Linked DNA regions of Schizosaccharomyces pombe. The gene in region 2 interacts genetically with the main gene of each other region. Each region holds a gene or a part of one and is shown on either strand. Other genes may lie near its edges.

Evidence for each region.
Region 1: of rdh54 (region 2) and bqt1, changing one enhances a phenotype caused by changing the other (phenotypic enhancement), as found in Schizosaccharomyces pombe (one study listed by BioGRID).

What each region holds. Positions count from the first base shown.
Region 1 is NC_003424.3:3,271,534-3,274,528, forward strand, and holds bqt1 (bouquet formation protein Bqt1), read right to left. Parts: upstream 1,167-2,995; coding exon 884-1,166; intron 835-883; exon of another isoform or gene 733-834; coding exon 617-732; 3' UTR 565-616; downstream 1-564. Other genes in the region: CHS5-like protein Cfr1, read left to right, coding at 1-564; puf4 (RNA-binding protein), read left to right, coding at 2,602-2,995.
Region 2 is NC_003424.3:701,977-708,642, reverse strand, and holds rdh54 (ATP-dependent DNA translocase Rdh54), read right to left. Parts: upstream 4,951-6,666; 5' UTR 4,855-4,950; coding exon 4,676-4,854; intron 4,629-4,675; coding exon 4,530-4,628; intron 4,439-4,529; coding exon 4,363-4,438; exon of another isoform or gene 4,322-4,362; coding exon 4,107-4,321; exon of another isoform or gene 4,071-4,106; coding exon 3,880-4,070; intron 3,828-3,879; coding exon 3,754-3,827; intron 3,719-3,753; coding exon 3,587-3,718; exon of another isoform or gene 3,549-3,586; coding exon 3,485-3,548; exon of another isoform or gene 3,449-3,484; coding exon 3,350-3,448; exon of another isoform or gene 3,311-3,349; coding exon 3,153-3,310; exon of another isoform or gene 3,115-3,152; coding exon 3,042-3,114; exon of another isoform or gene 3,007-3,041; coding exon 2,391-3,006; exon of another isoform or gene 2,352-2,390; coding exon 2,282-2,351; exon of another isoform or gene 2,240-2,281; coding exon 1,991-2,239; exon of another isoform or gene 1,956-1,990; coding exon 1,815-1,955; 3' UTR 1,800-1,814; coding exon of another isoform or gene 1,170-1,799; 3' UTR 653-1,169; downstream 1-652. Other genes in the region: SPOM_SPAC1296.01C (phosphoacetylglucosamine mutase), read left to right, coding at 1-475, 516-588; DNA-binding transcription factor Atf31, read left to right, coding at 1,170-1,799; mug62 (putative AMP binding enzyme), read left to right, coding at 5,888-6,040, 6,086-6,666.

The DNA.
Region 1 (2,995 bases), 2.6 Mb from region 2:
ACTGAAGGACTTGAAGATGAAAAAGAAGAAAATAATACAGCCGCTGAATCTTTAATCAATCAAGAAGAAACTACCTCCGGTGAAGCAGTTACAAAGAGTACTGTTGAATCCTCAGCGAATGAGGAAGAAGCTGAACCTAACGAAATAATTGAAGAGAACGCTGTTAAATCTTTATTGAATCAAGAAGGACCTGCAACTAACGAAGAGGTTGAAAAAAACAATGCTAATTCTGAAAATGCGAATGGCTTGACAGATGAGAAAATAATCGAAGCCCCTTTAGATACTAAGGAAAATTCAGACGATGATAAGCCATCTCCCGCAGCAGCTGAAGATATTGGTACTAACGGTGCAATTGAGGAAATCCCTCAAGTTTCTGAAGTCTTAGAGCCAGAAAAAGCGCATACTACTAACTTGCAACTGAATGCGCTCGATAAAGAAGAAGATCTAAATATTACTACAGTTAAGCAAAGTTCGGAACCTACGGCTGATGACAATCTAATACCCAACAAAGAAGCAGAAATTATACAATCTTCTGACGAGTTTGAAAGTGTAAACATTGATTAATGACATTGATCTCTTGTATTCTGCAGTCTTTTTTTTTTCTTATGTTTATATGTTAACATTCTACGAATATCCTCCACTTTTCCAATCGTTTGACTAAAGGCACATGGGAACCATTTTGAACTGTAATGCTCTGGTATCCTTGCAGTCTTCTAGACCATGGAAGTACATCTAAACTCATTTAGCATTAGTAAATATATAGCTTCGGATTTTTTTTTCGTTCTCTAATAAATTTTTTTTTTTAAATTAAATCAACTAGGTCAAAAATGGGTAATGGGAGGTTTTGAAATTATGTTTCATTATACTGATAGACAGAACTTACAATATCGTAGTTTGAAATTCGTGCTGGCGTCTTCTTCCATATGTATCAATGATTCTTTATTTTGACCTTGGCAAAGCAAAGCGAATTGCCATATATTCGGAAATATCGAGTATAAATATTCTATCCTTTCAATTGAAACTTGAATAAGGCTGTGTTTTAAAAATCTAGCATGCTCACAGTTTGAATCAGTGCATACAGGTGTTTGAGTATAAATCGCGATTTGGGTTAAATATTCTACTTTGTTTTGTTCAAAAGAAATAAGCGTCGTAGTTAATAAATGCATTTTGTTTAAATCAGTATCATTTAGGATGGGTGAAAGGATTTTTTTTTAAAACGCGTCGTTTGTAGAAGAAGAGGTGCATAAAATATGAACACACCACATATAATAATAAGAGGATAGACATTAAAGCCAACAACCTATTAAAAGTGTAAATTTGAAATCAAAAAAGATTAAAAAAAAGAATAGGAATCGACTTCTTTTACACAAAGAAATCCACACCTATTTGATATTAGCTTGGACATCCTCTATTGACGACTGCATTTTCTGATAGCACAAACAAGACTTTTTCAGACTTAAATGAAAATTAAATAAACCAACAGTGGGTTTTTTAGGGAAACCTAAAAATTCAGAGAATCTTAAGCAAGTTCTCTGTTTTGCTTTACATAACAATCTTTAACGCCCACAACGTTGTAAAGATATCACCTATAAAAATAAAAAAATTACGCTTTTGAGGAATAGATGTGCTTTTTTATACATATGTTTATTCAAAATACAGCTCACTGTCTTAATCTGCTAAAGTAGTAGACCTTGTTTACCTATCATCTTTAGAGTGCATTAAGCAGTTGTTAAGCGAAAATTGCGTCATCTATTAGTGAGCCTCTGTTTACAAGTTGACGGCTGTTTATGAGTTTTGAAGAAGGAATCCAAAAATAAATTTGATTTTCACTGAAAATCTATGAAATAAATATGTAGCGACTAATCATACACAACAATTGTATCAAGTTGCCGACATAAAAATACCAGCTGGCTCAACCTTTATAGATACTTTTGAAGAGCTCTTATAAGCATTAATTAATGTTCGAATGATGTAGTTATTGCTTAAAAAAAAGAACCGCCTGGCGTTATTCTCGAGTAAAAGTAAAATCAACATGTGCAACGAAGGAATGGATGCACTGACTGCCGTCAATTTCTCTCAGCCGTCCTCCCAATAAAAATCATTAAGACATGTTATTAAAAACATTAAAAGGCATACCAACGGGTGTTGTATCTTACAAATCACCTCATGGGATCTGTTTTTTGTCAAACTACGGCATTACGCCTTACAAGAAAAAATGTAGAGAGTGAAACGAAACTGAATTGGGATGATTCTTAGCATTTAAAAAAATTGTTTTTGTCTTCGAAGCACAAATTTCACATTTTCTCTTTTTTTTCAAATCCTTCCTGCTTCTTCCTTAGTAAGTTGCGTTACCCGTAGTGTTACCTGCTGTCGGTACAATACATCTCACAGTAAGCATGGTTTCCACTCCACACACTGTACAGTCGCCTGCTTAAAGTAAAGTAGAGGTTGTGTTTTTTGTGTTGTATCGTTCTTCTCTACATCTTTTTGTTTGTATCGGGACAGGAAATAGTTTGGGAAAAATCCCCCACTAAGAACAATTTATCCCACGGACTGTTAATATATGACAACAGGTAATCCTTCGCAAAACATAAGCGTAGCATGACCGAGCAGTCTTCTAAATCTCATCCATCCTTTATGTCTACAGAATATTCGCTTCCAGTCTTTTCTTCACAGTACTCTGATATTGAGAATAAAGATGTATTGAAATCGAATTCTTGGGATCCATATGCCGCTAATGCGCCGATTGCTTTGTCTGAGATCCCTTCATCTTCTAAATCCGGAAAAACAAATGGTTCAAAAGCCGCTGTGGAAAGCGGTTTGGCATCCGGCGCTTTCGGAAACCGTACTGGGAACATGAACCGGAATACTAGCATGAGTGGATACACGTTCGGATCTTCGAATTTCGTTCCCTATAACCTTCTTTCTAACACTCCTTCTTTCACTACTTCTCACTCTTCATCAACAACTTTTGTTCCGCCTGCGACTATGGGCG
Region 2 (6,666 bases):
TTTTATGTGTGTCTCCCGGTCTTAAGCATCTTTACCATGCTGCTCAAGCTTACGATGTTGGAGTATTTTTTGAAGCAAATGGTCATGGTACAATTTTAGTCTCTCATGCTGCATTATCAAAGATAATTTCTCATGAAGTATTGTCTCCAGCCCAATTTAATGCCTTAAAAACTCTAAAAACAGTCTTTGAATTGATTAATCAAACTGATGGAGATGCTATTACTAATTTACTTTTGGTGGAAGTCATTTTGGCTCACAAAAATTGCACTTTGAAAGAGTGGAATCAGCTATATAGCGAAATTCCTAGTCGTCTAATTCGCTGTGAAGTAGAAGACCGGTCAATTTATACTACTACTGATGCCGAACAAAAACTAGTAACACCGGAAGGACTTCAAGAAAAAATTGACGCTTTGGTAGCAAAATACACGGGCGGTCGGGCATTTGTTCGATCATCTGGAACCGAGGATGCTGTTCGGTAAGTTCAATGTTAATTATCATTCTAACTCTAATTGTAGTGTGTATGCGGAAGCTAGTTCAAGGGGTGAATCTGAGGATTTAGCCCTCCGCATTGTTGAACTATTACATTAAACAATTTTTAAATTTAAATGTTAATGACTAAATTGGTTATGATGGAACTGTCTTGTTTAATGTTGTTTTTAGGGATATCTAGTAATAATTTTGGTTACCCAAATTCTTATATAATATCTAACAAAAATATGTGCATACATATGCGAATATACTTGTATACAGTTTGTTGATAGTAATTTTTTAAAATAACCAGGCATTATAATTTTGTTGTTGTGTTCACAAGAAAAAGTGTTTGTTTACATGGACTTCCTCACAATGCTTGAATTTAATATTCCCTCATAAAGGACTTATATAAACCTCGCGTGAGCAAACAAACGCTCATATTTGTATCAAGCTGTTATAAAGGATATTGACGGAAAGTTCAATAATTCACCTATTTACCAGTTAATCGGCATTATCCAGCTGTACAAATTTTATCGTTTATAGTGATCACTTTGAAATCGATTATTAAAAGAAGTTGGTGCCAAAAACTCATAAAAAAAATCAAATATATAATTCTACTCGTTTGCGAAAAAGAAGTCTTTCATAAGACGCTATAAATTTTTCTTAAAAAAATTATTGATCAATAAATCATTTTCAGCATGACCTACGAAACAAATACACCAACCGAGGAATCCATTATTCCGAAGCATGAAGATGGAGAAGAATACAACTCAATTTATCTTTCTCGTTTCGAAAAAGACATCTCAATTTCCCAAACCCTCGATTTTTCACAATTTATGCAAACTCAGATTTTATTGACAGCCAAACGTAAAGCTTTAGAGCTCGGCGACGATCGATCCCCTATTAACAATGATCCATATAATATCAGGAGAAGCGATTTTGATGAATTATCAGAATACACTGCCTCTAAAAGCCCCAGTATAATTTCCGAGGCTTCACACAACTCACCATCACGAGAGCTGGATGACTCAGGTGATGAAAACACTTCCAAATTAACTGGAACTAAGCAGTCAATGTTGAAAGCCAGAAACAGACAAGCTGCCCAAAAGTGTAGGATAAAAAAGAAAAAGTACTTACAAACATTACAAGACCAAGTCAACTACTACACTTCTGAAAACAAGGAGCTTTTGCAAAGTGCTAATGATTTAAGAGAAGAAATAATTAAACTGAGAACCTTGGTGTTTGCTCATAGAGATTGCCCAGTATCGAAGGCTTGCTCAAAAGCGTTGTTTCTAATGGGCAAGGAAAAACCGCTTACGCCTCCTTAAAAGTCCGAAATAGATCTATTCGAACTTTTTATGCATTAGACAGTTGATAGGTAAAGGCTCAAGAGGGATATAATCTTCTACGCCATTCATAATACTTAGGTCATTCGGAAATTGCCAAGTCCATCCTTGAAATGCGTTCTCTGGACACTTTTTCCCCTGGCCATTAATATTAGGATGAAAATACAACTTACCAAATTAGTATCCATATATTCAGAAGCCTTTTTCCAAGAACTGATTTCTTTATCTTTTTCCTTCGTATTTGGGGAATCAATCGTATGGTCAATTTTAGTTAACGGATCTTTTTTCTTTGTTAATGAATCAATTTCATCAGAATCAAATGCTAATTCATATGTCAAGCAAGTTTCAGTTTTTGAATATGAAAAAAGTGTCTTGATGTCTTCACCCGTAAAAAAATTCTTCTTTTGGCTTGCATCGGAATCCTACAATCAAGTCAGTATAAAATTTTATAATAAATCACATACTATGAACGAACTTGAAAGCCCTTGCTTAGTATTTTGGCGAATAAAAATGCGCTCATCTAGCATTCCACTGCTGCATAACTTAATATGTTATTCGTAAAAGCGGTCGTACCTTAAAAATGTGTATATACAGACTGGCCGCTTTTGCCCGCTTCTATATATCCTTGACAATGCTTGCAAATCTTGGGCAGGGTTCCAACTTGGTTCGTAAATTATTAACCTAGTGGATCCGGTAAGATTTAAACCGCAGCCACCAGCTTTGCTTGAAAGTAAAAGCACACTAAATTCTTTGAAGCTGGAAGTATTGAAATTGTGTACTATTAAATCACGCTCAGAGAAAGGAGTACTTCCAAGCAATTTACAGAAACGGACATGCAAAATTGATAAAAACAATTCAATCAACTCGAGAGTTTCTTTATATTGGGACACAATAACAGCTTTTTGGCAACCCCTTTGGAAACTTTTAAGTAGCGCAGCCAATATTTGCAGTTTGCTAGAGGAGAGCAACATATTCTCTTGCTCGAATACATGCTTATCTTGCAACTCCGTTGACAAAAAATTTTCCTTTTCATTTCTCAATAAAATGGTGCTATTGCATATCTTGCTCAAGCGAGTCAAAATTTTAAGATAATAGCCCTTCTGATCAACGCTTGACTTGAAACCATCGAGAACATGTCCATAAACATTCTCTTGTTGATGTGTTGGTTTTATGAATAAAACAATGTCGGCTATTATGTTAATACTGATTTTAATATTTGCATACTTCTTGGCGGTAAATGTTTAGCCAGTATATTGGCTTTCCTCCTTAACGTGAAATTGCTTGTAAATTCAAAAAGCTAAAAATCAGTATAAAATTTATCTTTAGTAAACAAACCCTTTGAAGTCTTGCAGCTCCCAATGATATGTCCCTAGAGGAAGCATTCATTGATCTACTCCTTAATATAGGCCGCTCATACTGAGCTTTAAAAGAATTTGGGGTCCCCAGAGATCCAGGAATTATAAAGTTAACCATAGAGAAATATTCTGACAAATCTGAGCGGTTAAAATTAAATAGCATTCACTGATTCATACCGTTTTGTAAAGGCGTACCAGTGAGAAGAAGCCTCTTTCTAGTTTTTAGCTTATTCAGCGTAATCCAAGTCTGACTACTCATGGACTTCAAGCGGTGAGCTAAGATTAATAAACTATTTATGAACAAATCAATACCTTCGTCGCAAATTAGAAGATCAATATCAATCCCGCATCCATAGTTTCTCAAGTACGTACAAACCTTTAGCAATTAGAAAAAAGAATAAATAAAGGAATTACCGTTTCATATCCTGTAATGATAATCGAATAAGTTTTGTTCGACGTAAATTCTTGGAAATCTTCAGCGCATCTAGCTATATAAACATGAATACGCTCGTGACCGAGCCAATTATAAAACTCATTTTCCCAATTCTAGCCATTAGTAATGAAGTTTTGAAACTTCTTACCTTCAAAAGAGTGACAGGTGCTACGACCATTGCATTGTTTATAGTCGAAGAACGATTGGCGTAATAAGACTGCTCTAAATAATAAGATTAGAGAATGAAAGTTAAAAAAAACCCTAAGTCTCATACTCAATAAAGTCCAGACAACTGTTATAGTTTGCAACGTTTTTCCTAAGCCCATTTCATCAGCCAAAATTGCACTATATCCACATTTTCCTTCCATTCCTAATAAACAGTCGTAAAGAAAGGAAACTCCTTCCCGCTGATGAGAATAAAGATGCTTTGAAAGGAAAGGATCAATAACAACATCTACATGCGTCCTGTAATGTTAGATCAAGCATTCACTTTTACCATACCTTGGATCCCAAGTCTTGGGCCTGCTCATCACCAAAGCTCCAAGCACAGTAGGATCATGCCTCGGTTTGGGTAGTGCTGATATTGTCTGGTACATTGTGTTAGGTCTCAAAGGTGGCTTGAATTTACGCTTCATTTCAGGCATATGAACGTCTCGGAGAGAATCATCTATATGTGTGCCTGCTTCATAACTTTCTGCAGAGATTTCCTTCTCAATCTAAAGATGATGAGAAACATTCGCTTACATGTATATCTTACAGATATTTCTTTCCCGGAAATGCGAAGCAATTCTCCTTCTTTGATTTGTGGCACCCTCGAATGACAGGATCCGAGTCTTTAACATATATTAATAAAAAATATCTCTCAATAAAAGATGCTATATTGTTTGCGACTTCATTTTTAGTAAGTTCGACATGTAGGAATACCTTGTAAAATCTGAATTATAAAGAGTCAAATTTGAGTCTTCTCTAACGAGAAAGCCATCCCCTTCCCATGTTTTATGTTTCTTCATAGTAATTTTTCTCCTGACGCGTTTAGTCATGAAGTCAAAAAAGAGATTGTGCTACCATACCATACAACATTGTAATAAGCAATTTTGTTTATGTCGATATTTGATTTTCCTTTATGTTCATTTGCATTTTCAGATACTTCGTGTGAGGTAGTTGCTGTTTCTGTTTTGGTATAATTAGTAGATTGATGTTTTATGGTAGATTCAATTAATGGACATTGAAAAGTAGCTCTTCGTTTCATGTTCAGATTTCAGTTTTAATAAAGTAAGGTTTCAATTCTCTTTGGTAACTGTGTTTATTTACTCAACAATACTATGAGACCGAACGTGTGGTGTTCAAGTTAGACAAATGCAAGCAGTTCTGAAGCATGCGCGTAAAAATCGGTTAGTAATATTTTGCACTTCTAGGTACAATCATCATTTTGAACGTAATAAACATTAATAGTATCACACGTACTAAATTAAGGTCTCTTGCTTCTGTTCATATAATTTTTTTTATTACTAATTAACTTTCATCATGTTAAAGCAAAAAAGGCGGCAATTTGTAACTTATCATTAAATTTATAGCGTAAAATGTTTTAAATTAAATAAATTATCTACAATTTGCAAGAATGAATTCCCGCAAAATGTTTCTATTCAGGTATTGTTTCTTTTGACTAACAAGAACAGTTTCTGAAAGGTAGAATAAACAGCGATGAATATGGGGGTATTCAACTAAATTTGTCCATTGTTATCAACAAAATTTGCGAATGTTTACTTTTAATTAAACAAAGTTAGCGCATAATGCTTAGCCTGTTGTTATCACTTTTTTCTCAATCGTTATTAGTAAAGACAGGTTTCTTAGTTAATAAATTATATTAATTAGTACTGTTAGTTGTATGTTGCATCTGTAGTCTAGTGGTTATGATTTCTGCTTTACACGCAGACGGTCCCAGGTTCGATCCCTGGTAGATGCATCTTTTTTCGAAAAGCTGATACAATCCAACTTTTTGCGTTCTAATATGTATAAAAAAGATTGGTATTTACTGTTAATTTTGTAAAATTAATTGCGCACATAAATGAATAATGATGGGGAACAGGGATAGAGCATAGTCTTTCTAAATTTTTAAATTGAATTAGGATTTGTAAACTTAGTACACTTTTACTTCATTCAATGTTATTGTTTATCCTTAGTGAAGTCAATCAGGTAACAGGTAACATAAGCGATTTGTTTACATTTCTCATACAAGCTTTGGAATCCTCAATTCCTAACTGTATGCGAACGTGAGCCATAAAATGAGTCTAAAATCATTTTTCAACTTCAATAAGAAGACAAAACTGCATGACATAGAAGAGGATGTTATATCTGAAATTGGTTCTGCTGGTTCAGCCCTTCGAACAGATGCGCATATGCTGAAAGCAAACGATGTCTATTATAAAAGTGAAACGGTAAGAGTAATATAAAAAAAAATTACTAAATGCAAAAATTTCAAGGATAGTCATACTGTGCTGAGATTTATGAAACCTTCAGAAAACGAAAAAATCCATCCCGTAAGGCATTCGAAATATGAAGATAAAAGCAAGTTGCCTTTTGAGACAATACCAGACCCAGTGTTAAAATATGTGAAAAGAGCAAGGGATGCAGAGCTGCAACCACAATTGGCCAAAGTATCTCAGAAGCTGTTTGCAGATATATCAACTGCCACAGCAGCTGAAAAACTACAATTCACAGTTCCACGTAGAGCCAGATTTGAAATTAATGATCCACGAAATCCAACATTTTCAATGATGGCGCTGCAGGATATTATATCTGTCCTTGAGTATCGAAGAAATAAAAATCCAACTTCTACTGCTCATATTTGTATCGATAAAAAAGGGAAAGAAGCTGTGAGTTACAGTTGGGATAAAATCCTGAATAGAGCTAAACAATTTGCGTCTGTTGCGCAAAATCACGTTGGACTTAAACCTGGAACCAGAGTAATTTTATATTATCGAAAATCGGAAGCTTCAGAATATATTATTAGTATCTTTGGCTGTTTGTTGCTTGGAATAGTAGTAATTCCTTTGAGTCCTTC